3 linked regions of the Drosophila melanogaster genome follow. The protein of the gene in region 1 purifies or fractionates together with the protein of each later gene. This does not show direct contact. Each region holds a gene or a part of one and is shown in the gene's direction. Other genes may lie near its edges.

The links.
Region 2: the proteins of fra (region 1) and trio purify together in Drosophila melanogaster (affinity purification with western blotting; one study listed by BioGRID). This does not show direct contact.
Region 3: the proteins of fra (region 1) and Abl purify together in Drosophila melanogaster (affinity purification with western blotting; 3 studies listed by BioGRID). This does not show direct contact.

What each region holds. Positions count from the first base shown.
Region 1 is NT_033778.4:12,525,350-12,536,005, forward strand, and holds the start of fra (frazzled), read left to right. Parts: upstream 1-3,703; 5' UTR 3,704-4,377; coding exon 4,378-4,477; intron 4,478-10,656.
Region 2 is NT_037436.4:1,028,085-1,038,531, reverse strand, and holds the start of trio (trio), read left to right. Parts: upstream 1-3,656; 5' UTR 3,657-4,034; intron 4,035-4,466; 5' UTR 4,467-4,703; coding exon 4,704-4,882; intron 4,883-8,908; coding exon 8,909-9,452; intron 9,453-10,020; coding exon 10,021-10,447. Other genes in the region: bab1 (bric a brac 1), read left to right, coding at 1-210; CG9205 (uncharacterized protein), read right to left, coding at 2,311-2,500, 2,576-2,972, 3,071-3,158.
Region 3 is NT_037436.4:16,642,503-16,653,138, reverse strand, and holds the start of Abl (Abl tyrosine kinase), read left to right. Parts: upstream 1-5,256; 5' UTR 5,257-5,995; coding exon 5,996-6,329; intron 6,330-10,636. Other genes in the region: baldspot, read left to right, coding at 1,604-1,741, 1,884-2,006, 2,557-3,064. UniProt on the Drosophila melanogaster protein: Arm and Abl proteins function cooperatively at adherens junctions in both the CNS and epidermis; critical for embryonic epithelial morphogenesis regulating cell shape changes and cell migration.

The sequences.
Region 1 (10,656 bases):
TCTTACATAACCGCATCGAACTTTTTAAATGACTCGCAATCCGGGTGAGTGGCCCCACATTGCCCCACCCAAAGGCCCAAACTTCTGATCCGCCATCTGTGAGTCAGCCTGGCGACCATGTCAAGTCATTTCCTTTTGTTCTTTAAGCCAATTTCGCGGAACCCAACACTCAAGTGTCATTGGCCAAAAGTTTTGTGGTCATAAACCCAAGTTGCAAGTATAGGTCAAAGCTATAAAGAATATTTGCACCACATTTGCCATTCAATCATATTTCTTAATTTGATTGGCTAACTCAAACTCCAGTTTAAAATTCCAAATTATTATGTTACGCATTTATGACCCAAACGCCTTCTGCAATTGGCTTTTAAAAGTTAACTTATCTTTTCACTGTCAAAAAACTGAAATGCCAAACTATTTCCATTTCCTGTTTTTTCCCCACAACTGCAACTGCAACTTCAGCTTTCGAATTTCTTTTAAAACCAATTATCAAATCATGTCGCTGCCGGCTGACAAACTCATTTATTTTGCTCCCTGCACTCAAAACTGAGACAGCCCCACATGCATCATACTTGCACTTGGTGGGGTTTTGGACTTGGCTCTCTTTATGCCACTGGAGTTCCTCCAACCCACTCAAAAAGCCCCCCTCTTTTTAAAAGCAACCTAATTTCACGTTCGTTTCCACTTATGCTTTTCCACCTCACACAAAATATTTGTTTTCCTTGGGAAAACTTCGTCTGGCTTTTCCACAGATCTCTAACTCATGACCACAATTTACAACCACGACCGAGACCCAGATCCACATCAAGACATCGAAGAAAAAGTGTCAAACTGTCAGCAGTTCCCAAAATTAGCATAATTTAGTACGCATAGACTGGATTTCAGGTTCACGAAGATATTTCCAATTAATTTTAATGTGTGACAATTATATTGTTGTTTTTTGTTGGATATTCCCGCGTTGCATATTTTTACACGGAAATTTCTAAGAAAATAAATAAGTTCTTTATGATGCATACACAATGATTGATTATAAGCAAATCTCTCACTTAGTATCTTTTTAATGATTTTTTAAATTTAATGTTTTTTAGGTATATATATAAATATTTTAAATTATGTTTACATTTTTTCATCTTAGGTTGCTTTAACAGAAAAATACTTAAGTTGATCACTTATTTATAATGCAATTTTGCTTTTGACACTGTTTTAAAATTTTCTTTAATTGCTGTGTTCTTGTAAGAACTCGATTTAATTAAATTTTTAGCCACAACTCGTTTTTTCTGTTTTTCTTGCATAACAGGGTATATTAGTTTCGTAGAATAGTAACAGTTTACGACCCTATGAAGTATGAAGTAATAATGAATATTAATGATCAGAATCACATGGTAATTACAATTATAATAAATGCAATCTGGAAAAGAGTTTTTTCCTATTTCTTGTACTCCCTTGCACTCTTACTAGCTAGTTAAGGGGTATCTGATTGTCGAGACACCCAATCGAAGCGTTCTCTCTAGTTTTTGCACATTCAATTGATTATTTTTCTGTAATCCCCAACACTTTTTTTGTTGTATTTTCTCGGCAATTCGTTGGCGCTCAAAATACATCAGCATAAATCATCAGCGAATCTCTGGCAAGCGCCACAAAAAAAAAATATGGTACAAAAAAAGGAGTGGAAACAAGAAAAACACAGCGACATATTAAATTTACAAGTTGATTTTGATTTATGCGCAATGGGCATATGGACAGGCACACAAGCCGAGATTTGTTGTCTGCCGACGCTAACTTAATTTAACTTACTTTGTTGTTGTTCTCTCTCACCGGTTTGCTGGCCATTGTTGTTGCTGCCAGGCGTCGCAATTTGCTGCCTGCGTCGCCTGTCGCCGCCAATTAAGTCGGGAAATGGCCAACTATTTTAGCCGACTGACAATCAAAGTGATGGAAATGCATACTAATAATAGTAAGCCCTGATTAATCAGGTTTTTATTAACAGAAAGTACTTTAAACTCTATCTATATACCTAATTTAAAATCAAACTTAATTGTATCCCTTCCAGAATATCATAACTCATGAAGTATCACTTAAGCAAATATTCTGAACTTCCTAATGGCTCTGGATTTAAAATCTTTGCCTTTATTAGTTCTACCCAAGTTAACAACTTTCTTAGGAAGCGATTTGCAGTGAAAGTCTTTAGTGCCATGAACAATGGATTTGCCAAGTTAAACGAGAGAACCTTTTATATATTTAAGCAATTTCCATGTCCGAAGTGCATGCCTTAATTTATATATTACCACACACAGGCTTAATTCACTTAAGCGCCTTTTCGTGTCGGCACCTAAAAGCTTTGAATGGGAAGAACATCCGAATCAGAATCCAAATCACCATCAGTCGCCGCGTTTTGTGGGTGCCCAGAAGTTGCCCAACTTCAAGCTGGCATAACAGATACAGGGATGCGGATGCACATACAGATACGGATACTCGAAAGACTCGGTAGCTCGGATTAATTAAAACTGAAAATTGCAGTGGCGTCTGGTGGGGAAATGTGTGTGCTGCTTTTAAAAAACCTGCAATTAGCAGCGAAAAATCTCCGGTTCTGGTAATTTGATCCAAGTCCTCGAAACTTGACCCACATTTTGTGGGCATACGGATGATACGCTAATGAAGGGAATTTCATTTCACTTATTTTTGCGGCCTGCCAGTCCAAAAAAAAATGCCTCCCCCTTCTTTTTCACCCCGTCGTTTATTTTTACGACGCTTTCGCTTAAGCGCTGGCATTTAATGTGAAATTTATCATTTCAACGCCACGCCCCCCACCCCACGCCCAACCAACAATTTGTCGGCCTTGGTCGGATTTTTTATTGCGTTCACATTTCTCCGAGGCGAAAAGTGATATGTTCATTTTTTCAGCCTTTAAAGTTCCTGCTGGTTGCTGGTCGGCGCTTTTAAAATGAGTGTTCCTTTGCCACATGCATTTTTTTAGAGCCACAACTTTTAACCACAACCTGTCTGCACGTCGGTTGCTCGGGGGTGGCAATCACTGGCCAACTGCAAAAAATGCATTTCAAACAGGAGATTTTCCCATTGGTTTGAGCATAAAGTTTTCTGTCAAAGGATTTTTCTGAAATAACGTACTTATGAACAAGATCAGTCGGGGAGAAAGTTGAGGTACATTTCGAAAGCCATTAAAATTTTTAAGTATTAATCTCCTGTGACTCTCATAAAAAGAAATTTGTGTAAAGTAAAACCGAAAATATGTGAAATTTTAAAATATTTAAAAATATAGGAGCAAACCTTTTGAATACCGATATAAATTCATATGATTAATATCCCAACTGCAAATGTCCTCGAAATAATAATGTTTGTTGCTTTTGATGTGTAATTGACTTTGGTCCTAACTTTTGAATTACGCGCCATTTGGAATAAATTGCTCAACTGACCTTAACGCGTTTTTGGTGATGTGCACTCCAGTATCGATTGCTTTTCAATGTCGATGACAGTCATTAAAATATATTATGATTACGTTAGTAAGAAAGCTGAGCACTGATTACTACGTTACTTATGGAAACCCCTTTGTAAAATGATAATGAATTTATAATATGCAAGAATAACATGGTGCGAAAGTCATTTCATCGTCATCGATAGTAGTGAGACCATCGATAAGCATCGATAGCGGATGTGTTTTCGCATCACCCGCGCAGCTAGGGATTTTTTCGACAGTTTCGGATTTTTTTTCGGTCGTCGAGGTCGTTGCGCGCATGTATACTCTTTAGTGGCGAGAAAACGCGTTTGCCAATAGTAAAATCCATCGCAAAGAGGTAGAAAATTAAAATAAGTGCAGCCAAAATCGAAAATAAATGAAAAAGGCACTCAAATAATACATACAGCCGCTGAAAATGTGTTTTAAATAGAACTGCAGCTGCAAGTCCTGATGCCTGCCGAAGGTTAGAGCGAGACAACGCTACTTACTCGAGTGTGTGTGCGCAATTTGTTGATAGTATTTTCTGTTGTTGTAAAAATGCCCCGCTTGCAAGCGTGCAATAACAGCAACAACAAGACCTGAAACAACAACAATAGGCGGCGAATGCCGGCAAAACAAAAACGCGTAAACGATTGATGCGAATAGCGTAAAACAAGAGAATCGAAAGCAATAATCGCCCAAGAATACACAACAAAAGTGGAGTGAGTAAAAGTCGCGTGTGAGTGTTTGCGTCGCGTGTATGTGTGGGTGCAAAGGATACAAATAGAAGGCGCAATCGGCGATTGGCGGGTATCAAGAGCCAAAATGTTGTAAACAAATCGCAAAAGTCCAAATAAACCTGAGCCATTCGAATTACCTCCGATCGCAAACGACGGTTTCCAGCCAAATCAGCGAAAAGCAAACAGAATATGGCCATCACAACAAACAGAAGCAGCAGGACTTTGTGGAACTGGCTGCTCAGCAGTTGTCTCATATTCCAGCTGATTGGCAGCAGTTTGGCAAGTCAAGGTGAGAACTTCAATCTGAAATGATAAATATTTTGCACCAAAGTGCCGTAAGAGGGCTTTATAAAAATGTAGATAGTTTCTATCTTTCGCTGTGCAGGTTGTCAATTTATAATTTTAAACCAAAGACCCATGAAATCCAAGCTTAGTTGCTTACACAGAAAGACATTATCAAATTGTGTACATATATAGATTATTAAAGAGATTATAAAAGATATAAAAAAAATTTTATGAACATGTGATTGAACTTTAATTCTTGGGCTGCGCCTTAATTGCCTTCTGACAGGAGGAAATAATCTAAAACAGTGTATAAATTCGGTAGATTAGATGAGTTTATATCACTTCAATAAATATTACGATTAAATAGTACGAATAGATGAACTACGTGGTTTGTCAGCCCAGTAATTTTTAGTTCACTACACTCATCCACCATATTTTATGACACTATCTGTTACTTTACTCTTCGTACAATTCCCTATCTATGTTGTGTATTCGGGTACCATAAAGTTCGATATCTGTATTTTAACAAATATGAATGCAAGTACAGTTTTGGCGACTGGATGTCTGGTCGACGTGCCAGAAAGCAGGCATTGGGACCCACAAAAAAAAAAAAGCCTCATGTGCGAAAGGTGATGTCAACGGCGAACTGATCCGATAAGCTGTCATATTTCGCAACTCGCGCTCTTTTTGCACTCGTAAAATTGAGGTACTTTCAAAAACCCTGCCCTATTCCATCCACATGTGCCAATCACCCGGGGTAATTCACCGTAATTGCTTCCCATCATATCACCTGCAGATAAGAACTCAAAATGGGATGGTTGCGAAACCGATAGTGCTTCAAAACTTAAACATTACTAATGAGCTTCGCTTGAAACGAGATAAACTAAACACTGCACAACATGAATTGAAAACCAACGCACTTGTTTGCGATTATTTGAGCCAAAACAAACACGATTTCCTGTGAAAAAGTATTCTGAAATCGAAGAAATAGAATCCAACAAAATGGTAGCCGTAAGAGTCATTATCATTAGCTCAAAGCCAGGGAACAAGTGATCTTAGGGGATCAGGTAGGTAAGCGCAGGTAGAACCAGTGCAGCCCAAAATGCAATTAGGTTTTAGGATCAGGCACAGTTTCAGTTTTAGGTCCCAGAAGAAGATTACCCAAGATCGGTGGGCAGCTGCACAATGCATCAATTGATTGATTTGGTTTGAAAACTAAGCCAGGGGTGGCTTAGAGGCTTATCATATTTCCATTTTCGGCTGGAGAAATAAACAATCGCGTAAAATGAGGGAGGGATAATGGAAATCCCCGCAAAAGGCGCAAATAATGCAAACAAATTAAATGTCCTGCCGTGAATCTCGTCTCTGCGCCATCTTCGAAACGAGAAAGAAAAGCCACCCCTAAAAGTGAAAAGTGTCCTGGAAAAACGGGGAGCCGCCTTATCAGCTGCAAAATTTATCAACGCCAGCTCCAAGACAGCCCGAAAAAGGACCCCAAAAAAAGTGCGGTCGTAAAAAATTGTCGGGGCATGTCATATGCAAATGGAATGAAAAATCTTTGAACAAATTTTTAGGTCATGGCATGTCATAAGTCGCAGGACTTAATGCCAGATTTAATTAAAAGCATTCCCTCACATAACTTCAAGCTTTATGTGGTGGGTATGTAATTAAAAAAAAAAGAAAACAACTTTACTTACATGGGTGTAACTAGCTGAAAAGAATTGTGTGACAACAATGGACTCACGTGGCTTCACGACCACTTAGTACCGTATAATAATGCATCAATTAAGGTTGATAAGATACTATGAAAGTAAGACAAAGTTAGACATTTCCGTGTTAGTTAAATTAAATTATAGAAAAGCATTTTAATAATTTATTTTGATCTTTAGATCTATGTGGCCTTAAGACACCCTTGTGGTTTTTTCTATCTTGCTAAACAAACTAGTTGATTTTATAGAAGGATCCTACTTATACCGTGTACGAAAAACTCACGTGCGAGGTCCTGTTCCCATTTTCGTGCTTATTTGTGGCGCTCTGTGTTTTCACTTTCCTGGTCATATTTCCTCGCTCTTTAGCCCGTGAATTGTGGCAATTGTTTGATGTTGTCCTGGGCGAGTCGCCTCACCCTGGCGTTCACTGGCTTTTTCCCGTGGCCAGGAGCACATTTAGCCGCATTACGTGATACAATATATGAGTGACATGTTATTCTAATTTCGCACCCCTTTTCATATTCCTGGACACATTTTTTCCGCTCGTTCCGAGGGTGCGCTTGTCAAAATAAACATTTCCATATGGTGGTTATAGCCCCGGGGCTCTGTGTCGCAATGTGACAAAAGAAAGGAATGGAACATTCGGTCGGGGAGAGAGTGTTTAGAGGACTCGAATGAGGTCACTTCTTCTCCGTTGAATGCAGACTAATTACGAACCGATGCGAAGTCCCTCAATGGTGTTTAAAACGCGGACGTCACTCTGAAGTGTTGACAAAGCGCCGGAAATTGTTCGTCTTTCGAAGGTTGTGGGTTCTTAAGATGTATACTCCATATAGATGTATGTACACACATATATGCATGACTAAGAGTCGCTTGAAGGACTCGGAAATATCTCACTTCTATGGCACTTATTGATGGTCGCTGCGAGATGTCTTCTTCGGTTTCTTTCTCAAGAGATTTGCATTGTGCCAGGCTTTTCATCTGCCAACAATGACAACTTCTGTTCCGGCACATAAACTTTTGCCAATGAAGTTTGGTTTAACAAAAGTTGGTCTTGTCATTTAATTAAAAATGTTGTGTTATATTTGTTTTCCTTACAAGAGGAGGCAAAAAAAAAAAACAGAATTTAGATGTTGCATATACTTGGGGAAACTCATGTTGCTGGAATTTTTATGGAAAACAGCAGGAGGAACCGTATTCGACACCAAATAAACCGAAAAACAAAGATATCCAAGAGTCGGCACAATTTTGACACCGAAAAAAATAGGTTAAGATACAAACAATTTCCACACTAACCAAATCAAATGGTTTAAAGTAAGAAAAAAAATGTCATTTCTATTAAAAAATGAAAATAAGTTAGTGATGTTGCTGATAAAAACGAACTGCACTTTTTTGTCTGTGTAACTTCTGCTGCGTTGGCAGAATGCAATTTCGTTTGCAGCTTCGAACCCGGACCTACCCACCCTCCGCCGATTCGACATGACAACATGAATAATTCACTTGAACCCGCCACAAACACCAAAACAAGAACAACAACAACAACAACAAGCCGAGACCGATTCTGCAACCCGAAATGTTCGAAAAGTTCAATGCACGCAACCTCAAAATCCAGATTTAGACCAATCTAAAGTAAGGAAGGGAGATTCGTTGGAGAATCTGCAAGAAAGAGAAAAGATCTGGCTGCAGTTACAGGAAATCATTCTGACCATAAAAGCATCTGGGCAACAATGTATTTCGCTTTACATTTAGCACACTGTACCTTTTGCGGGGGCGTTTCCTCAAGGATTAGGGCCTATTTGCATAGGTCTGCGTGGGTGATCCGTAGGTGGGGCCACTGCATTACAGCGAAGGACACGGCTAGAGATTCCAGCGAAGAAATGGCATTCAGCCCACTTGAGAAAAAAAAACGATCATTTCGTACTTAACTTGTTCGGCTGAGTGGCTTAAAGTGCCGTTAAAACAAGCCTGGCCTGGACGGGCCTAAACGGCAAATCTCACACCTCTGGTTGGTTGGTTGGTTGTTTGGACGGACGGAGCTCCTCCATTTGCCCATTTAGCATTCCCGACTCCATACACACCAGCGGGGCTATAAAATATCAGAAATTATCTGCCTCCACGCCTCGAATCGCACTTAATCACCTCGAGCAGATGCCAAAGGAGTGAAACGGCCGAAACGGAAGTCGGCAACAGTTTTTTAAATGCAGTCATTTAGTCGAAGTGCCAAAGTGCTGGCCATGGGGTACCATGGTTACCATGGGTACTCTCTAGCTCTCTAGGCTCCCGAGATTTGTGATATGGGCTGGTCGCCACGCCCTGGCCAAAAGAACTCAATTCTACCGGATGATTTTCTTAACTTGAGGTGGGGAGCTTGGAACTGGCTTCGGTAATTATTTTGTGGCCAGTGGAGCGAGCGATAAGACAGGCTGGCAAAGTAAACAAAGTTTTTGCATTGTTTTTTCACCAGCCCCCCTTTTGCATCTTCGCTTCTTCGGGCTCGCATTTCTTTTTTATGGTGTTTTTTTTTTTTGTTTTTCTTGCATTTTCTGGTTTCAGGTTTCGCGTGCCCATGGGCTACATTAATTGAAAAAGTCGCTCGCTTTGGTTGGCAAGCAAATGAAGTTGGTCTTGGCTTTGGAACTTACTTGACTGACGACCACGAGCCCCCACCACCACCGTCTTCGCCTCGTGCTTAACCCCCTGCCGCCCACTCGTGCTGCTCTCCATGCTTAACCCCCTTCGGACTTATCGGTCAACAAAATGCAGTCGCCGGTCGGCGATAAACTGTGGCCATGGCTGCCTCAAAGTAGATCGATCGCTTGATTGGCGACGGAAAAGCGCCTGCCCCATCTGCGGCTCACCCCCTCCCCTTTGTCTGGCCGCTTTTCACTTGGAAAAATAAGTTTACTGATTGTCGGGTCTAGCATGAAAGTTATTTTCAAAGAGATTAAGACCTTCGTTTACCTCGATGGTTCATTCGAAGTCATCGGAACTTAGTAGTAGTACTTTTAAAACTACACATAGGAAGAGTAACAAAAGCTAACACAAATAAAGATCTAACCTTTTCTTAGTTTTTTTATTATATTTTAAGCAACTCGATTTTCGCTGTGCAATTATCTGTAGAGCTAATCTATTGACTGCAATTGCCGCAGAAAAATAGAACATGAAAAACGAGCAGTTACAATGGCGACGACATTGTCTGGGCAAGATCACCAAAGATCAGGGAAGCAGCGAAGCAGGGAAGTGGACGGGCCCAGCCAAAAGTAATTTGTTACAACAGCCACAAGACCAAGTCACCAGCTTCGTTTTGTTCCGATCCAATGGTATCCAATCGGATTCGAATCAATTCGATCCGATCCGTTCCGTTCGGTTCGGTTAGGTTCGGTTGCGATCCAAGCGCCAAGACGCGACCAGCTAGCTCTCGACTCCAGCTGAATGAGCAGCCGTTGCTATTATTTTATTATTATCTACAAAATGCACGTACTTTATACCACTTACGAGTACGAGTCTGCAGCCACAGTAGTCGACGTCGTTGTCGAAGTCGTGTGGTTGCAGTTTCAGTTTTGGTGGAGGAGAGTGGTACAGTGGGTGGGATTTCCAGATCCGGAGATTCCTAAAACAATGGAGATAAACTAAGTGTGTCATTTAGTGTCATTGCCAGAAATCGTACCAGCAACTGTTTATTTCATGAGTTCACCATTTCACACTTTATTCGTCACTTAAGTAATATTCTTAGAAACTTTGAGTACTTTTTGCTATTTATTAGAATGTTATTTGATTTTACTTATTTCAATATTTTGTGAGCAATTTCAGAGTTAACAACATGAAATCATTTGAGTGCGATTTGTGACTACGTGGATTGCTTTTCTGTTTGGATTATCTATATAGAGCACTTTTAAATTGCAAACACTTGAAATGGATGAATAAATATGCATGCACCAAAAAAAAAGAAATAGTTGCCAGCTTAAGTTTTTGCCCCACTGTGGTGGCATTAAGCCACAATCCGCTTTTGCCGCTGCTCTTGCCAGCTGTGTGTGATCTTATCTGAAGCCTTGTCCGCGTTCGCGCAACTTAAGTAGGTACTAAGTGCTGCATATATCATAGATGGCCATGCCCATGCCCATGCCCAGGCCCAATCCCTACCTCTCGCATCCCGTCCTCCTGCATTCCCATCCAGATGTTGAACCCCAAGACCGGACTTTTTTGTTCTTTGAACCGAATGGCAAACGCTGGTTTAGATGTAGTGTGCTGTGCGGCTTATGACGTGCCATGTCCATGTGTGGACTCGGCTGATTAATGGCAATTATCCGCCGCACATTTTCCATTTCCACATTCTGCGGCATGGATTGGATTGAGCTGTCAATGGATGCGGATACGAGGGGCGCGCAGGATGGCGGTGCACATCTGCCCATTAAATCCTGTGAAATGCACCCAGGCGGTGATGGTTTCAGCTCTGTGGCCATTAGGTAAGCGACTT
Region 2 (10,447 bases), on another chromosome or scaffold:
CGCGAATTCTCGCCCAGCCGCCTCTTCGCCGAGGATCTGGCCGAGCTGGTGGGCGCCAGTGTCTCATCTTCCTCATCATCGGCGGCGGCAGCGACGGCTCCTCCGGAAAGATCGGCAGGAGCAGCTTCCGCAGCCACAGGCGCGGATGCACCCAGTTCCTCGAGCAGTGGAGGCATCAAGGTGGAACCCATTACCACCACTAGCGAGTAAAGGGAGTAAAGGGAGGGTGAAACGAAGGAAATGATAAAGTTGAGAAATGATAATGGGTGAATGAACGCAAATCAGAAGCTTCGGCAGCTTTACTTGGCCTGTGTAAGCCTACGCCTTGGTTAAATTAAATTAATTTAAATTATATATTATTTATTATACGTGGAATCTGTAAACTGCATTCCCCGATTTATGCCCATAGTGCAAATTGATTGAATTTGGCCCGAGAAAACCGCATTAGGCATTGCATCCACATATTGTAAACGAGTTACTTTCCAACTACATGATATATCACATTTCAAATTATAATTATGTGTAAATAAACTAGATATATACGTTTTGAAGGTTTCCTCCAAATCTTTGCGTTTTCACCTCGAACAATTCCTACACTTGATATCCAATCGAATTTACAAATAAGCTTTAACCACGTTCTGTTTATCATATCAAAAGTGTACATTGCAATCTATTGTAGTTAACCAAGGTGTAGGCTGTCGCATTAGCCAGTTTTACTCTAGTTTCCTCCACGCGATCTTCGCCACCTAGTTTCTATTCCTAGCGTACTTACTGAATCAAAATTAAAGTATTATTATGTTATAGTCCATCAGTCTAACTAACTAACTAAATAGCGACCGATCTCTTTAGTTGTAAGCTACAGCGAAGGTGGAAGCAGCAAACCCGGAACATTCCACAAACCATTCGAAATCTGTTTCGAATGCAACTTCAAACTTCAATTGAAACCGAATCAGAAGCAGGATGATCCACAAATCAAAGCAGTTTAATATTAATGAAATGGAATAAAATCAAAAGAGTTTAAGCGGATTTAACTTGGTAATTGTGTGCCCGAATTTGGTTTAGTCTTTAGTTCACGAGAAGCGAGAAAGAAAATGTACAAAATTATCTAAAAATGAAAAAAAAAAAAATAAAAATTGAAATCGAAGCTTGTGGCTTCGAACGCAAATGGAATCAACTAAATTTAATGTTTAGGCTTAACAAAAAACAAAGAAATTCACAAAAAATGCCTTTCGGAATTAAATTCAGCGATGAATACACCGCAAACAAAATTTGTAAAAAGAAAACAAACAAAAACACGTGAACTTTTTTAACGTATTTATACAATCGAAATTTTTAGACAAAATTTAGAAGCAACAATTTTTTACACCGAGCCCTGCTGCTGCTCCCGCCGAACTCGAGGCCACTGATTTCGACATTATTGGAAACCCAACGTAGTCCCCGAATTGATCCCGCATCAACCCAAATCCCCACTAGATCCCCTTCTAAAGTGCCTTTTCTAGCCTTAATTTGGACTCTGCTCCACTTCCGATCCGGTCGAGAGCGAGGCCAAGGATTCGCGGCAGGACTCGAGGATTTATTTGGCAAGTCTGGCGACATTACGATACGATTGAGTATCGGAGAACGTACATATATGAGTATCTCTTTATTTGGTTTAAACCCCTTTTAGGCATTTAGGCATACTTTCGGCAACGTTTGGTTTGGCAAGCACACAATTGATTAATCGGACAAGAGTTAATTACGATGATAATGATAAACATGACTATTTTTGCATACGCAAGAACATCTACCATAGCCATAGCCCGTATATAAGCACACACGATATATAAGTATCTATGTAATCCCAGTTCCCCCAATAGACTTTGATGTTCCCACACGTATCGAAACTTAACGAATTACTTTCGGAATAGGATGTAATATAAGCAGTGGCAAGAGTTAGCGGCTAAATCTCCTGGATATTGTGTATCTTTGTACGATCTGGATCAGCGTCCAAGTCCACGTCCAAAACTCAACATTTTCTATAAACTTTAGTGCAAACTTTATGTTCAAATTAACTTTAAATGTCGAAATGAATGTTCTAATTAATCGAAGAAAACAAAAAACATAAAAACTTAAAAACGGAAAACCGAAACGAACAAAAAGTATTTTATAAAAACATTGAAAAGTAACCCAACCTGAAAGTCTTCTCATTGCTTACCAAACCGTTGTCTTGAATCTTGATTCTTGATTTTGCATTGCGGTTTGGCTTAGTGTTTATTGGGCATATCTTAGTGGAAACTGGAAACTGGAGACTATCCTTGCAGCATGCATCTCTCAAAGCACAAGAGGCACGGCCTCTGCCACCGGCTGGTTGATCTCCTGGTGGCGTTGCAGTAATCCCAAGCACTGGTGCAGGCACTGGGTGCTGGCCGTGGAGATCGCCTTGAGCAAAAGAAGATCGGGATCCGTTGGCGAGAAGGAAGCGCAGTCGATGCTCTCGATGGCCCTGGCCAGAGAAGCGTTGCTGGAAGGGTTTGGGGATAGATTTATAGATTGCAGGAGGTAATGCGGCGTTAGCTACGAATCACTGTGCAGTTACCATTGTTCCGTGAGAAACAGAGCTTGGCGCGCTGAAACCATGGCATCGGAGGCGGCAAGCAATTCCCGCGGAGGAAGCGGCGACGAGTTGCTGATGTCCATCGCCTTCATGTGACTCTCGACCACCGCCCGCAGGCCATCCACCCACTCCTGACGGGCCCTGGCATCGTTGGCCCTCAGCTTTACCGTATCGCCGGAGGCGCAGGCGATGGCGAACGTCCTAGAGTCCTCGTCACTCGGGTACACCACTGCGCCGGCCAGCTGCACCTGGCCCCTGGGAGCACTGGCCAGGACGTGGGGCGAGGGCGCGATGTCGTCGCCCACCGTCGACGAGTCGCACAGGTAGTAGCTCAGCGATCCTGTCTTGGCGTCCACCGTAAACCAACGGTACTGCCATCCTGCAAAGTGGATGCTGCGATTAGGGAAGCGGTTCTAGCGGGGATTCTATGGGATGGAGAGCTTGAAGGTGCTGCTCCAAAGGTGAAAGTTTGCTCACCCTTCATCACATTGGTGTATTTGCTGAGCTGACCGCAGAGTTTCAGTTTGGCCGATTCACGAATGATCCTGTTCAAGTTGCTCTCCATTTTGGCGGCGGCGTCCTTGGGATCGGGGCGCACTGGGGGCGTGGCCTGCCGTGGGCGGTGCTTCTTCTTGCGCTGGCGAAGCGAGTTCTTGATTTTGCGTAAAATGTTTGCAGGTATATTAATTTGATTCGGGTTTATTTGGTAAAACTCGGCAGAAACGGAAGCTAATGAACAACAGACAGTGTTGTATCAGCGAGCTTATGCTAGCAGGCGAGCATCGATAGTAGTACAATCGATGCCTGTTATCGTAGATAGTTGGTATTTTTACATATTATTTAAAAAAAGTCAAAATATTTAATATTTAATCATAGGTATCATTTTGAGATAATCATGAGCGTAACTATGTAGACTTTTTTAAGAAAAACTCTACTCAATTGCGATGCCTTATGACTATCGATTATTAACACCTATCGAGGCACGCAATCGGTGTGCTCGATTAAAAAAGGCTGAAAATTCAGTTTGTAAGCCGTTTCGGCATCTGGTCACACTTGTCGTTTCGCAAAATCCAATTTGTTTAAACAAAACAGAGAGCGCCCGTTCGTAAAATCGCGGTTTCTTGAAAAATGAAAATTTTAGCTTAGCCCGCGTCAAGTCGCGAACTGCGTGCAACGGTAACTTGGGTGATTTTACCGGTGGGAAAGCGTGTGAAAAACAAAAGCAGCGCGAGTGAAAAAAATCAATTTGGTGGCACAAGCAGTGGCAAGAAGAAGAGCCAAGACGCAAGAGAACTGCTTGCGGATGATGTGATGATACAGATATACATAGCATATACATATGTATATACAGGCTATATATACGTCTGGAGTTTGTGTTCAAATTGAGGCAATTAAAACATAGCGGATTTTCGCCCGTTCGCAGTGGCGAATGTTGTGTTGAGTGTGTATATTTCCAAATAATGTTTCAACTTGTGTGCCTGCCTGCGCGAGTTCTATTTGATGTTTTTATGCTGCGTGTGATTTATGACATTTAACGGGAGTACATATGTATACATGTGTGCACATGCCACATACACATACGCATATGTATGCACCCCCATGCGAGTGTGTGTGTTTGCCCGTCTGTTTGTATCTCCCTCTCACTCCCACACGCACGAAAGTGCGAGGGTGACTGAAGAAAAAAACTCCACTCCTTGCATCTAAAAATAGGAAAACTACACAAATTGTGTGCAAATTATGTGTAGCATTTAGAAAACCAAGTGAAATACCCATTGCTAATCTGCATCTCTGCTTCCCCACTCATTTTCCACCCACACACACACACGCACACACGGGCAAACACACGAAAACCGCAACAACACAAACACAACAGCAAAAGAGTGACCATGAAAATGCCAGCGAGAAATTTGCGAAAATCAATGAGCAAAAGCAGCGGTTCATAATAATAACTAATAACAGAGCCAAAACAAGTGAAATTCGAGGCTGGAATTCGTTATGCTGCAGTGCCCATCGTCGGATTAAAAAACGGGCGGAGACCCCCCAGTTTAACCCCTCCAGTGATTAACCCCCGGCCGCTTTAACCACCCCTCCCCCTTCCCCTGCCGACGGCATGGACGGCCAGCGGGCCAGGGATCTCCTGACCCTCCTCCAGGAACGGGTCGTCTTCCTCACGGGCGGACGGGACCGGCGCGGCGGACCGCTCCTCTGCTTCCCGGCCACGCCCCGTCGCGATCGCCTCAAGCCGGAGGATCTGCGGCGTCTCCTCAGCTACCTGATCAGCATTCCCAGGTGAGGATGTAGTTGCTACTACCACATAGGAATAGCCATTTAGTTAGTTAGGTTCTATTGACATCCAATTGGATCTGGGCAAAGGTCGTCCATCTCAAAATTGTCTATGTTATAACTATATTTATGTTATCTATGTATTACGAAAGCACACGTAGAAGTATAAATATATTAAAATACAGCAAGATAAATAATTATGAACATATTGCCGAGAAAAAAAAGAGTGCAGCTAATTCTTAATCTATGCCTGCACTTTATTACGTTAAGTTATTGTTTGATAAGCACTAGCCATGATAATAATTTAAAATTGCAATAATATGATAACACTCAGCAAAGTAAAGAGGACCATTTTCATATTTTGTACATTTAAATATGTTGCTTTTCTAGATTTCATCACAAACTAATTGGCTTAATTCGTAGCATAGACATTTACATTTTTATAGACTTTTTGATTTACGAGCTATAAATAAAGCATAGAAAATTCTTGGAACTTATAATGACTCACCCAAATCATCTTGCACCTAATTAAATTTTACACTTTTCATCTTGACATATACATTCTATATATGTATATTTGATCAACTTTTCTTTAAAAACGTCCAGCTTAGTTAAGTGCACTCAAAGTGGATTGCATGACTGCCAGCTTTAGTTACAATTTAGATGAATTGAAAACGTCAAGTTCTTAGATATTTATACTGCAATGTTGCCTTTGGCGGCACAAGTCCAAATTTCTCCGGCCTCCTGCATTTTGTATTTACAGCACAGGGAACTCTCGTTAGTAAACAACTTTTTCGGCTTGGAGACTAATCACGAGTTTGTAGCTTTTAGAAATCGTTGTAAATAGCATCTTCGATCTTTAGTTATGTAGTTTATTTGTATTTCGATCTCTTGTTAAATTCCGAATACCACGCAGCTGCGGTTTCGCGTTACTGGGGCCTTACTGTACCAGTACAATGGCAACCCATTGTGTCAGCTGACGTCGCGACATCGCTGGCTGCGCTTCGTTTGCAATTTCGGAGGAGTCGCGACGTCGTCGCCTCACCCGCACCAACATATATATATCGTATATATATATATTTTGAATAGGGGGAGGATGCAGGGGTGCTCGCGAGAGGGGGAGGAGGGGGAGAGCAGCTGCTGCAGCTGCATTGCCACATTCCACTTGATTTTCCTGTTATAGTCGTCGTTCGCCTGCAGTCGCATTTTTATGAATCATCATCGTTCGACGATTGCAAGAACAGCACGCACATTGTTCTTGGCTCGCCCTCTCTTTCTCGCCACATATGCCCATCTCTCTCTCACTCAGCTGGCTGCTGTTGACATTGAATCGCCGAAGTGCGGGTCAAAATGGGTGGCACAGAGGGCCATGGCGGGCTAAAAAAGTCATAAAAGTAAACGTTCTCCAATAAAAACTAGCAGCAACAAAAGTTGCATAAATCTGTGCGGCGAAGAAAGCACCGAGAACAGAGAAGAAGAAGAAACAGCAAAAGAACACACAGATACAAACGCATACATACATACATATGTATGGGCAAAACCGGGGACCGGCTTCCAAAGTCTTTAAGAGCCGAACTCGAAGAATGCGAATATTTTTTGCTGCTGCCCCAAAGACTAAAAAAAACCACAACAAAAACCGAAATGAGCCGTAAAACGAGAGGAAAGAAAGAAAGAAAGGGTAATTTGGGCGAACAGTGCTGCCTCGATAACACTGACATGCAGACATTTATAGCACTCTGTGTGCTTAAAGTAAAAGTGCGAGTCTAAATCCATTGTTTGCTTAATTAGATTGAACAATAGTTTTGGCTAACTCAACGATAAATATCCAGTTAAAAGTTTCCTGCCTCCAGACAAATAAAGCAACCATTTGCAGCGCTGGCTTAGAGAATCTCTAGAAACTGCCATCGAGATGGCTGCCAACGGCAACAGACTCGAAATGATAATCAGACCCTCGAGTCGATGATGATGGCGACCCGAGATTGCGACACACGACAAGAGTATCTGATGAGATGTAGAAATAGTATCTGCCGCCGGGCGCGAGCATGAAATCTGACATTCTCCAATCATCGAGAAAGGGAGAAACACACGTATCGCGCCTATTTGGTCATGCTCATTGGCGCAATCATAGGAAGATTGCAGATTGATTGCTGCTCAATGGAAGCGCTAACAAGTTTTCGCCAGCCATGATGAATCACTGCAAACCGAGTTCCCACGCCGCCGCATCATCCCATTCGGCTGTTATCAGTTATCAGCCGGCTAACAAGCAAAGCATTGTACTATCGCTGTCCCACATTTCAATGGATCCCCCCCGTCCGGAAAACAAGCAATCACACTTCAGGTTCGGCCGATAAGCAAATCGACGTCGTAGTCCATACATACTCTCTGCTCCAAATATACGAAATGGTACTGGGGTTTCCTTATCTCATCGCCGCCATCCACGGCATTTGCGGTCCGTTCTGGCAGTCTGCCCACTGTGCGCTTTGTCTGTGCATTTCTCCTCTTATACCTATACCCTTTCTTGGGGTAGATCTCTGGCAGAAAACCACTGGTGACCAATGGTTTCTAAGAAACTATGCCCAAGATATGTGGGTTGAAAAGAAGTGAAGGGTACTCATTGCGTCGATTCCAATTGCATAACTTCCCCCTTTTGTTTTGCTTGCCTTCGTTTATGTTTCGCGTTGGTTTTTGTTTATTTGCTCTGGCGTGAAACACTTTTTGTTTATTTCTGCGCCTGTTTGTGCCTTTGTCTCTCTGTTCCGAGACTCGGCCAAATTGGCAACTGAAGTCAAGGCGTCTTCTTACTGCTGTCGTCAATGCAAATTCCGTGAATCGAGCGAATCGGGGGAGTTCTCAGCATTTTAGACACGTACATTCCCTGAACTTCCTTCGGGGGTATTTCGTGGAGGGAACCTCGGATTTATGGGTTAAATAAACGATTTTTGATTGGACTTTGTGTTTGGTTTCTTTTGGTCGACTTTTTAGAATGCGGGCGACACTTTTCCTCCTGTCCTCGTTTCCCTCTGTCTGGGCTTAAATTTCGATTTTTAATAGCCCGTTTCGAGGGTTTTATTAGTCATCAAAACGTTGCCCCATGCCCCTCCAGAGAAATACACCAAAATTTCCAGATATGTTGCACGATAAGAGGTTGCGGGCGGGTTCGGGAACTTTTATGGGGTTCAACCGTTGGGAACACCAGTATTATTCTGGATTCTCAAAGAGCTTCGTGCTGGCGGTAAACTTACTCGAACCCAAAATGCATTCGAAGAGACTAGACTAGACGCCTCTTCACTTTTGCATTGTTCTTCGGGGGCAAAACCCCTAGTAATGCCCATGCCCATCAAGCAACCGCACGACATACTCGTATGTATAAACACGAGAAGATAACGTGGTTAAAACCGGGAACTTAGAACGATTCGAAACCGGCCACAATCGGGCCAAGAAGTAGCGGCGAAACAGAGGGCATAATAGGAACTATAGGCGGAATATCGGAGGAGGCGGAGTTGCGCACACATCAATGAGAGAAATATTTATAGTTAATGGAGCGATTAAAATTCAAAAGGAATGCAAATCAGAGCGTTGGGCGGGCTGGGCTCTGGGAGGCCGAGGTGTGCAGGAAATTATTAGCTGAAATTGGTGTCAGAGCAATAGAAACCGACCCCAGACCAAAGAAGCAGCCGTTCCGTCTTAATTTATGCAAGCGACGTAAACAGAGCAACGAACCATGAGCGATCCGCGACACTCTCACTCACGTACTGCTGGGAAGACACTACACTCAAAAAAAAAAAAAAAAAAAAGACTCTAGCCACCTGCCAGTCATTTACTTTGATTGAAAGCAGTACCAAGTACACTTTCTAAGATACCTATCATAAGTTAATATAGATTGTTTACTGGATACTACGAAAAGATACATATGTGCTATGTAGTATCTACCAATCTAGGCAATAGCTTTCCCCAGTGTATCCACACTATCTCCTAGTTCTCTTTCGATCGCTCTCTCTAACCGAACACACCTTTCACCTGGCTTATTTTCAGCGACGCCGCCAAGAACCTCGGATTCACAGTCATCATTGACATGCGAGGCAATGGCAACTGCTCGACCAACGTGAAGACGATACTGAAGGTGCTGCAGGAGCACTTCAGCGCGAATATCCACAACGTGGTGATCATCAAGCCGGACAACTTCTGGCAGAAGCAGCGAGCCTCGATCTCCTCGCACAAGTACAAGTTCGAGACGACGACGGTGTCGATTGAGTCCCTTAACAAAATCGTCGAGAGCCATCAGCTGACCGGTGACTTTGAGGGCCAGCAGCTGTACGATCACCAGCAGTGGACGGACGCACGGTTGGCCATCGAGGACTTCTTCTGGCAAGCCGGGGACATGGCCGATCGAATCGACGATCTGCAGGAGGACCTCAACCGCAACGACTTCGCCGAGGACGTGCCGTTGGCCAGGCACGCCATCGATCACCACAACGAGATGCGCAAGAAGATCACCAAGCTGCCCATCGAGGATCTCGACATGCAGGGCAAGAAGCTGCTGGCCAAGATCAATGCGATGGCTCCGCCAGGCGGTCAGGTAAGGAATCGAATAAAGGATTTCTCTCGGAAAATCTTGAATGGGAATCAATCGAATAGAATGATTCCTCGTTGCTCTCGACTAGCTTACCCATCGTAAATATATTGAGTAAACAAATAAAAAGGTTTTATGAGATTTTTTATCCAGGAATTTGGGCGTAATAAACAATCACATATTTCACAGAAAAAGTCAATAGCCTCTGCCTAGCATTCACTTGCAAAATTGTACGCCAAAACAAAAGAAACTCCATCGAAAATATTTCAGTCTATTATTATGGAAATAGGTTGTTTTGTCTGCCATCCGAGTAGATGAAATTTACATTTATAACATTTGTGGTATTATGTGTTTTATGTGCAAAGGCCATTTTCATTAAAGCTCGTAAAAAATCAATCCAAATAAATTATTCAAACATTAATTGCACAACAATCGAAAAAAGTGTTTCCTGTTAAATATTTAAAGGTGGACTTTCTATTTAAAAAAAAAAACCGGAGTATTGGAAGTTATTACATTGCATTTTTTGATTATTTTTAAGACCAAAAACACTTCTAACTCCCCATTTTATTAACAGGCCCCCACAAACTCTGGCGGACCGGATATGGACTCGGGCCCCTCCTCCGCCGGACAGCAATCTCAGCCCTCGCAGCAATCTCGTTCGGTGGGCGGCAACCCGGACATGTCTGCCGCCGTGAACAAAGCGCTGCGGCAGATCGAACTCATCCACACCGGTCAGGAGAAACTTCTGATGCTGTGGCAGCACAAGAAGGTGAAACTAGACCAGTGCTTCCAGTGGCGCCTGTTCGAACAGGACTGCGAGAAGATGTTCGACTGGATCTTGCACAACCGCGATGTGTTCCAGATGAGCTACGTGGAGATTGGACACAATTACTCGGTGGCCAAGTCACTGCAGGACGAGCACCAGAAGTTCGCCGTTGCATCCATGAATGTATCCGTGAATATCGACAGGATTTTGGCCGTGGCAGCTCGGCTGATCGAAA
Region 3 (10,636 bases), on another chromosome or scaffold:
AATACGTATTCAATTTGGGCATTCTGATTGCGCCCGATAAAAGTGGCGTAGACTAAACCAAAATACGCAATCTTTATGGCTTTGTTTGGCTGGGAAATAACCGTCTATCGATTGTGTTTTTCATAAACCCGTTGACGCTCTGACATGGGGGCCAAACAAACATTTCCTTTATAAACTTTGCTTCTCGAATATTTCCGACTTTCTGCCAAGAGATTTGGCAAGTAAACTTTGCTTGTTTGCTCAAAAATATTGAAATTTCTCTCCAGGCTAAAGGTCAATGCAATCAATTTCTTTGGTTTGCCCACCAACCAACTACACATTGTGATAACTGATATCACACATTTATGCGATTCCATTGGTGTTGATTTTTATGAGTAATTGCTGTGGAATATACAGTCTAGTAAACGGGCCACCGATAAGGTTGGCCAACTGATTTGCAGCCAATTGATTGCGTAAACTTTGTTTGCTATTACTAATTAAGATTTAGAACGCATACTCAAATCAATTCCGCATTCGAGCGAACTCGTTGAGTGGTGCGATTATAATTAGTATTTGATTCAGCTGTTCCCAAAGTCATAAAGCTCTTTAAACTGGCTCATTACTTCAATATAATTTGGCCAAAAGAACTTCATTAGCCAGATTTCGTCTGACTAAGATGCTAAAACCAGTATTTTGATTTGTGTGTGGGCAACTTTTTCTTTGTTGGAATCGAACTGCTGTTTTAATGGGTGTCTCTTTCTATAGAAGAACTCATTGTTTCCCAAACACGTGTCGTTCCCGCGACCAACCACTTTTGGTAGATTCCTAAATTGAGCTGAGAGATCACCTGAGGTTTTTTGTTTTAACTTGACCGCTTGCGTTATCAATTTTTTGTGTGCGCGCCCACAGACAAAGTAATCGACTGTAATCTATTAGGTCATGCCGTGACAGCTAAATATGACTATTCCATGGCATCGAATGTTCGCATTAAGTAAGTTTATTCAAAGTGCCCTGGCAACTAAGTGGCACAATTGCGCTAAGGTTACCCGTTTTCAGGAGATTAGGTTACGCGCAAGTTTCTACTACTATTTGACTGACCCCCCGTGCGGCATCTTCAAGTTGGGGGTTGGTTGATGTCATTACATGCATTACTCGTACACAAAAATTCGCACATATTAAGTGCCTGCTGCCTGCTGTGGCAAATAACAACTTGATCTTTGACTGTCACGCTCGTCTAGGACGGAGGCATGGAAAATTGAATATCGTTAGAGTTTGTTGATCTTTTGGGATTTTTTTTCCGCTGCAATTTCGCGATTATTGGCACCGGGTAAATATGCATCATTCATTTCAAGGGCCAACTAGTAAAATATTCTAGTATTTGCTTTTGGTAAGTGTGGGAGTCGGAATAAAAATAAAAATTGTTCTGAAGTCATCAGCCAGCTTGCGAAGCTAACTTTTATTCGTAATTGATTTAGAATATTTAAATTTATTATATAAATTAAGGCGCGCAAAGTCAGCTGTCTGGAAAAACCCCAAATTCAAGCGATCTTGGTACCTTTCCACTGTATTTTTCCTGCATGGCTAAAGTTTCCTTTCCTTTTTGTTTTTTTTTTTTTTATTGCAGATTCCAATTGCGCGGCCCGCTGATCATATGGAACACCTTGCTGGCCATGTTCAGCATCATGGGTGCTGCCCGAACGGCGCCGGAGCTGATTCACGTGCTGCGTCACTACGGACTCTTCCACTCCGTCTGCGTGCCCAGGTTGGTATTGAACTCCCCATCGGCCTTGCATCGACAGGTTCCAGTGCCTGTCTGTCCGCATGACCTGCTTGTGCGGCTGGAAACTTGATTGCCATATGCAAATCAACGATCACTGACCGATATTCCCAACCTTCTCCCACAGCTACATCGAGCAAGATCGCGTGTGCGGCTTCTGGACCTGGCTCTTCGTGCTCAGCAAACTGCCGGAGCTGGGCGACACGATATTCATTGTGCTCCGCAAGCAGCCACTCATCTTTTTGCACTGGTAAGTTTAGCGAAACACTGACTGGGCATCCAAGATCCACTCTTAGAGTAGTCAAAAAAGATGGAGTGATAATATAACATCCTGCAATATGCTCCATCTTTGGAGAAAAGCTACTTATGATGACAATTTGCATCACATGTGGCGGCATCTGCTAGAACTTGTACTCATGTACCATAAGGAATACTGCTGTCTAAGTTCAATCAAAGAGAATTTCCTTATATTATTATTACTAAAAGATAAAAATGCCCTTTCACTAGACAAGCAACACCAGTAAACCAGTAAAAATACGTTTTATAGGTGCAGTGAAGCAATACATATGAGTCATAGCGAATTACTTTTAATGAGATTCACTGACGGTTATTTCGGCATATGAAACTAGCGTTAATTATATGTTAGGCTTAGTTAGGAAATAAAAGGTGCGAATTATTTGTGATATAAGCTGTTTCGATTGATCAAAATGATTTGATTTGAATATATTGTAGTTTCCCTGAGAACGCTAACAATTAACTAAACTTGAACTTTATATTAATTGAATAGTTTTCGCTCACAGGTATCACCACATCACCGTGCTGATCTACTCGTGGTTCAGCTATACGGAATATACCAGCTCTGCCCGCTGGTTCATCGTGATGAACTACTGCGTGCACTCGGTGATGTACAGCTACTATGCTCTGAAGGCGGCCCGCTTCAATCCGCCCAGGTTCATCTCGATGATCATCACGTCGCTGCAGCTGGCTCAGATGATCATCGGATGTGCGATCAACGTGTGGGCCAATGGCTTCCTGAAGACGCACGGCACCTCCTCCTGTCACATCTCGCAGCGCAACATCAATCTGTCGATCGCCATGTACTCCAGCTACTTTGTCCTGTTCGCGCGCTTCTTCTACAAGGCGTACCTGGCGCCCGGTGGTCACAAGAGCCGGCGCATGGCCGCCTCCCTGGCAGCCCAGAATGTGGTCAAGCAGTCGAGCAGCCCCCAGCAGGCCAGCGAGAGCTCCAAGTTCATCGGCGCTGGCGAGGATCAGGCAGCCTATCTGCGCAAGGCCAAGGCGCAGTAAAACGGAGCTCGGCACACCAGCACCTAACTCCCATCATCACCACTCCCCCTGTTTACGGCTAAGGACCTTTATTTATGTAGCGGTGTACAAGTTGTTTTTTAATTTTAAACCTGGGTGGCACACGACCGGTCGGATGAGAGTTTAATTTTGTAAGCCAAAAGTTGTACCGTGTGGACAGGCGTACGAACCATATATCTGAACATGTATATAAAAGAAGAAAAAAACAGACGAACCTAAGCTAACCAAAACTCAGAGTCGAGTCAGAATAAACTCTATGTAATTGAGGGGCAAAGAAGCGAGCGCATGAAAAGCTTGAATTGAAATCTCTAGATCTCTCTAGGGATATGTGAAAGGAACGCAAGGAATTTAGCTGCTCACTAGTTTGCATGCGTTTAATTAATAGTCACTCCTCTTGATATCTCTCGATGTATTTCCCAGCTGCAGTTCTAGAAGTGTCGTTGATGTATAGAATTTATTTATATTTCCGGTGTTATTGACATGCGCCAAATGAATGTTTTGTTTTCCACTAGCCCCTGAATGTATTTCGATATTTGCGTTGTCAGCTATAATTTACCTCTCGGGTGGAATTTTGTGTTGCCTCCCAATTTTAGTTAAAATTCTCAAGAAGGATCAGACTCCTGCCTTCAGTTTGGATATCGCACAGTTTGCGATACTTGAACGACAGGCATTTTTGGTTGAAATTGAATTTGATTTACTGGAGAACTGTTTTCCTAAAATCACTTGTAGTTGGGGTCTGAGAACTTTGTACTTCTAAGTCTATACGCATATATATTTATAAAAACCTATATTAACGGAATATTAAACACGTGAAAACGGAATACCAACCAATAACAAAACACTAAGTTAGTCTATTGTTCCAAGATCCAGAGCGCAAATTGTTATTGTAAAGTAATAAACTGTTTTCAAATCTGTAAGAACAAACAATATTTATAACAGTCGAAAAGACGTCTGATAAAATGTTGCTGACTGACTGGATTAAGTCGAAGCATTGTCATAGTCACCAATAAAATATTTTTGAAATTTTAACATATATTCCAGTCAGTCAGTATAGTTTTAACCAGTGTGTCAGTCATGCTGCAATACAAAAAGTTCGATTCTGTTAGGGGAAGGCATTTATTTAGTTAACCTGTGTTAAATGCATTTGAATATTCCTTCAAATTTCTTGCTGCTTTTTGGTAACTTAACAAAGCCACAGAAAGTCCTTGAACGTAACAAAAAAAAAAAAAAAAAAGAACGTAAAATAATAATAACCAGAGAAAAATTAAATTATATTTATACTTGTAAGCGAACAGAACAGAAGAGATCGCATGTGAAAGAGCAAAACCGAGAAAATGAAAAGCAAAAGTCCTACTTGAAAAGTTAATTTAGTGTAAGCGAGGAAAATGTAACTGAAAATGAAATCGGAGCAGAAGCTGAAGGAGGATCGTGTGAATGGAGAGAAGGATCGATTGATACTGAACTCTAGCAGGAGAGAGAAATTGAAACGAACAAACTTGAAATTTCTGTCGGGTATACATACTAAATAATAACTAAGCAAGAACACTAAAGATTGAGAATGCTAAACAAAACCAACGGATAAATAAAACGTAACAAACGGAAAAGGATGGAAAGTATTGCAGTTGTATTTATTAGTCGGGCTAAATGGGAATTTATGAATACATCTAAAGGCATATTATAAAAACCGTAGCTTGATTATTCGATGTTTTTAAATGTCAATTACATTTTGATTTGAGTCAGTTTTCTCTTAAAATCAATAAACTAAACTAGGGTTGACGCAATAGTCGAAAAAATTCGAAGTGTATCCATGAAAAATTAAAGATAATGTTATAAGTTGCATTGCATTGAAAATCTAAAGAGAATAAACTTTTCCTAGAAAGCTATATCAAGATTCTTTTAATTCAAATTATGTGTTTTAAACGTTTGAATTTAATTTTTTTTTGAACAACCAAAAATTAGTGTTCACAATCATGGAGTTTTTAAGCACTGGCTTACTAAGCTAAGTTAACCACCCAACCAGTCCGTGTCGCGCACCCATCATATTGCATTAGCCGAGTTTCTTACCAAACTAGCGCTGCCAACGCGTTCGTAAGTACTAAGCATTTATTATCAATATCGATACGTCTATCGGTATGCTGCCAAGTAGGGTATGTTTAAACGACCGACAAGCGGTCACACGAGTGCAAGTTGGATTCCAATTCGATCCGTCGCGGTGCGTGGAAAAAATGCACAGATGTAGATAAATCAGCAAGCAACGCTAGCAGATCAGATAGAGCTATATCGTCGCGAAAACCGATTAATTTGCCATGTTCAGCGGATCAGCCTGCGGATCAATTAAACCGTAAAAAACAGAGCAGGCGAGCGTAAGCAAGAGAGAGAGGTGAAGCCAGAGGCGGAGGCGCAAGACAAAGTGCATTTTCAGGGCGTGTTTTTGAGACCCCCCTCGCCAGTTAAGCTCACCCAGCCTCCCAGCCGTCGACAAGAAGTTTGCCGACACAACATTTTACCAACATGCTGCAAATTCGCAATTGCACCTGAGCGGCCACTAGAACAACAAATCAGATAAATCGCAAACTTCCTTTTTCCTCCGTGCGTGTGTACTTCTGTGTGTGCGTGAGTGTCTCCAATCTTTTTTGTCTACTCCAAAAACGCAGAAAGAGAAAGAAAAATGTGTGCGTGTGTGTGTGTGAAATAAATTAAAGCAAAGCAAAAGGCAAAACGGCAAATAATTGAGCAAAAGGCCAAGAGAGAAGAGTTAAAGCTGAAGTATATAACAAGAAAAGCAAAGCAAATAATAAGTAGTAGTAGTAAGCGAATAAGCCGTAGCAGCAGGAGCCGAGAGAAGAGAGAGAAAAGTGTACAAGTTGTTGTTGCTGCGCAAGAGCGAAAAACCACCCAACCACCCACTGGCAAATGGGGGCTCAGCAGGGCAAGGACAGGGGCGCCCACTCGGGAGGAGGCGGCTCGGGGGCCCCCGTCAGCTGCATCGGCCTCTCCAGCAGCCCAGTGGCCTCCGTTTCCCCCCACTGCATCTCCAGTTCCAGCGGCGTCAGCAGCGCCCCCCTCGGCGGGGGCTCCACGCTCCGTGGCTCCCGCATCAAGTCCTCGTCCTCCGGCGTGGCCAGTGGCAGCGGATCGGGCGGAGGCGGTGGCGGATCCGGATCGGGGCTGAGCCAGCGTAGTGGCGGACACAAGGATGCACGCTGCAATCCCACCGTGGGTCTCAACATATTCACCGAGCATAACGGTAAGTTCCTGCAAGTGTTGGAAAACAGGCATCGAAAGCATGCTAAGTACACAGAGCAAAAAGCATATTTTCAAAATTTGAAAGCCTTGTTAAGTCAAATTAAACGAAAAACGTCTGTACATAGTGCACGCTCAATCAAAATCGTTTTTATAAAATTAGGTGTGCACTAAAATTTTGTTTTCTATTCGAAGTTATTTAGTGGTTTGATCATTTTGTGTTTCGATTTCTGTAAGCTTGACTTATTTCTCATTGGTGTTTCTTCTTTTACATTGGATCTTAGAATTATTTTCTTGCACATTGTAGTTTGAGTTAAAAAGGCATCAATCGTAGAAATCATCTGGACCAAATCGATCTGTATAAGTGTTGTGTAACATACATATAAAAGTCAGAGGATGCACAAACATGCATACATTTGGAGGTCCCATTCACTTACACACTAATTGTAAAAAATTGCATGCAGCCTCCAAACTCAGGTGTAAATTCCATCATAGTATTGTGACTTTTCTTATTATACATGGAAATTGTTGTTGCTGTATTGCCAATTGCTCAGAGTTGTGTTATCTCACATCCACCACAATCATTTCAATTCGTGATGAAATCTTTTGATATTCCATACAACAGTTTTTAAGGACATTCAAGAAATCAGTAACTAAAAACTTATTCAATGGGGGTACTTTCAATAAAAAAATGCTTTTTTAAGCGTGCTCTTGCCATTAAATCTCTTTTGTAAATATCATGTAAGTTTTGATTTATCTGCCAGTTTGGGCTGCACAGTGTTGTATTTATTGTTCATAAAGTGCAGTCCACTCGGCTTTCCCTTTCCCCCTCTCTCCTTCTTTATGATCCCCGCCCTTCCTCTATATACGCTGCTTTCCAATTGAGCCAATTTCTTTTTTCCTCCATTTCTTCCGATTATATAGGAAATTATTGTTGTTATTGCCGGCTAGTTTCATACTTGTTGTTGCTTTTCCGCTGCTTTTGTTTACTGGAGAGAAGGAGAATGAATGAGAAAGAAAAGTGAAGGAGAGAAGAGAAAAGAGAGAGAGCAGCACGCGTTGCTGTTGTTTTTGTGCTGCTTGGGGCGGTTTCAATCCGCATTCGTGCTCTCCATCATCCTTTATCCTTCGGCCTTCCTCGTGGCACCCTTATCCCTGCCACCCGCACAGTGGTTGAAATTGCGACCCACAACACCGTTATCCCACCCCCGCTGACATATTGCCATTTCCTCCACTTTTCCGCATTTCCCCTTGCATTTTTCCTGCCCTTCACGCACTCACGCACATTTTTATTTGCCTCATTTTTTTGTCTAATACTTTTCCATTATTTGCCCTGCCAAGCTGCATAATTTTTTCTTTACATCCTCCCCGTTTCCGCATTTTCCGCACACCCACTTATTGGGAGACATTTGCCGTTTCTAATAGCTTTTTTATGTCCATGTCGACGAAGTCCTACCACAATAGGACCCACAATCGGGTGGCATTCGGGATTTTCTCAAGACTACCGGAAAAACATTTGTCAGGTTATAATAGTTACGCAGACTCAGTGGTAGAACTTTTTTTTTAACAAAAAGCATAACTATGTATGAGAATACATGACGAGGGTCGTATTAATAGTAAGGTAGTTTTTTAACTTGAAATCGTGTTGCCTTATTCCCCTGACAATTGCAAGCCATTTTCGCAACAGCTGTTTCAAACTGAAAGTGGACTTTTCCGAGTTTTGATATTTACACGCGCGACAATCTGTTCCTAAATGTATTAAATCCATAAATTTGCTTAAGTTCGAAAATTGAAATTTAATCCTTTATTATTTTACTTTTTAACTTTTGATGTAAATACTTCCTTTTGCAAACTATTCATCTCCCAAACGAATGGCTTGGCCAAAGTATTGATTTTTCCTTGGCACTCCAAGCTGAGCCACTTTTCCCAGATGATTTACAATAAGCTGTAGATTTTTCTTCTTGCTCTTCTCAACTGGAAGCCATTTCTTATCTCGCTCTCGCAGAGGCTTCCGTCTCACCAAGCAATTTGTAATCAATTAATGCTATTTTTATTATAATTAGTCGCTTATTGTGTGCATTAAGTTCAGTCAATCTCTCAGCTGGTACGCTGATAAGCCGGTTTTCATATAAATATTTATTGACGCTACTATTGAGTCATCGCTCCGTGCGATGCAATACATATGTACATATGTATGTGACCATCATCGGAAAACAAACAAACGACATTTTCCAGCTTCGTGCGGTGTTATTTCCCAGAAAAACACAGAAAATTCGCCAACGAAAATGCACATCTATTTGCCAAACTAGCAGAGTCTGTGTGTGTCTCATCATCCAAAAAGGTCGAAATGGGGGCCTGCAATTGCCTTTTTCGTGTGTCTGGCCTGCGAAATGCAATTACAGAATTACAATGTAAAAACGGTGTGTCTGGCTCAGCAGATTACAAGGCAGCACAAATCCCAAAAACCGAAACGGAAAGCCAGCCAGCCGGACTCACCGCAATTGTCAGTCCGGGTGGATCTCGGACTTTTAAGTGGGCGAATTTGGGGGGAAAGTCGCGCTATGCTTCTCCGACTCAATCAAAGTTAAATCCACCCACCACACACGTAACTAGGCACAGTGGGATAAAACCATTAAGTAATTGTTGAAACTACAATATTACAATAGTAAACACATCGTTAAGTATTAAGAACTTGTGTGCATATTGTTATCTTCAAGTAAACAATTAAGGCACTTAATAAATACAAGCAAAGGTGTTAAAGCTCTATTATTTTTAGATTTTTAAATAAATTTGCAGTCTCAAAAATTAAAAAATGGCATAAATTTCTCTTGCTCTAATTAACAGAATGTAACAGAAATAAAAAACAAAGTGAATGAAATTCTTCGGCTTATTACAGTGCTTTAGGCTTTACAGTGCTTTAAGGCTTCTTAAAAGATAAGAAATTAATATGACATTTTTTAGACTAATAATCCAGCTACGACGTAGCAAAAGCAATGTTCAGAAGGCGTAGGCGTTGTGCTAGTTGCCATTGCAATTGCAATTTCATAACCTTGTTGTTGGTCGTAATGCGATACAATGTAATTAGATACTTTGGGGCGGCAGTTGCATTGGCCAAGGGATTGTTGGATTGTGTGTCGCCCTGGGAAAATACCATAGAACCGGTGCAGATGCAGATGCATAATCAGTTGGAGACGCCTCAATGGAGTTGCCAATTGCAGTTGCAAATGCAGCACTGCTGGAAACCCGGGGCCACCGTAGCCACCACTTTGCAACCAACTCACGCAAGTTGACGACTCAAAAATAGACTCAAGTGGGAGAGAAGCCACAACTCTTTCCATCGAGGAGAAAGAAAATGTGCATAAAGTGCGTTTGTCCCTGCACTTGCAAAAGAAAATATGTTTTACAAATTCCACAACTTTTCTGTATTTTGAAACCAGTCATTTTGCTATATCATCAAAATATTTTGGAATTTAACAAGTGTTGTTTGATAACCATTTACAGTTACCTGGATTGGTTTGCAATTTATTTTGACCATAATACATTTTACACTTTGAAAAATGTATGCATGTCTACATTGTAAATTAATTGTAATTCTGAATTGCAATGTAAGCGGTAAGCATTAGGAACTCAAGAGAACTAATACATTATGCCACTTTGAAATCAGAATTTAACCAAATTATAAACTTTCAAAATTTTCTTGAGCCTTCTGTAGAAGCATTGAAAACTCTCATCTCAGATTTTCTCGCAGTGTACAGTGTACTCTCCTCTATCTTTTTCGCACAAGCAGGGAAATCCGAGTGTTGTGTTGGTCTCACTTTGCTGACATGCAAGCGGCAAATTATGAGCCGGGGCAAATGAACTTTTCACAAGGCTAATTGGTAGGAAAAGGGGCGAGAAAACGGGGGGCGGGCCAGTCAGGTGGCACACAGGTGACGCGGCAAGGAGCAGTTATGTTTACTCTTCGACTTTTCCTATCACCCCACAAAAACCCCTCAATAACCAAAAAACAAACGGAATAATGTAGACGTCGCATAAATATTTCCCCAATGATTTTATGTGCTCAAACATAATTGTCATAATAATAAAGCACTCAGAGAAAGGGAAATCAGGGAGGGGGGAGGGAGCGAAAGGCGGGGGGGTGTTGTTCCCCATATCGAAGGCGTTGTCTCCATTACCACTTTGTACCACAAGTCTTTTCTCTTTCGCGGCTGCACTTCTATTATTAGCCCCAAAACGAAATGTGTATCTTCCATGCTTTCAGTTGTTATTGTCGTTTTTATACAATTTCCTTTGGCGCTGACAGAGATTGAA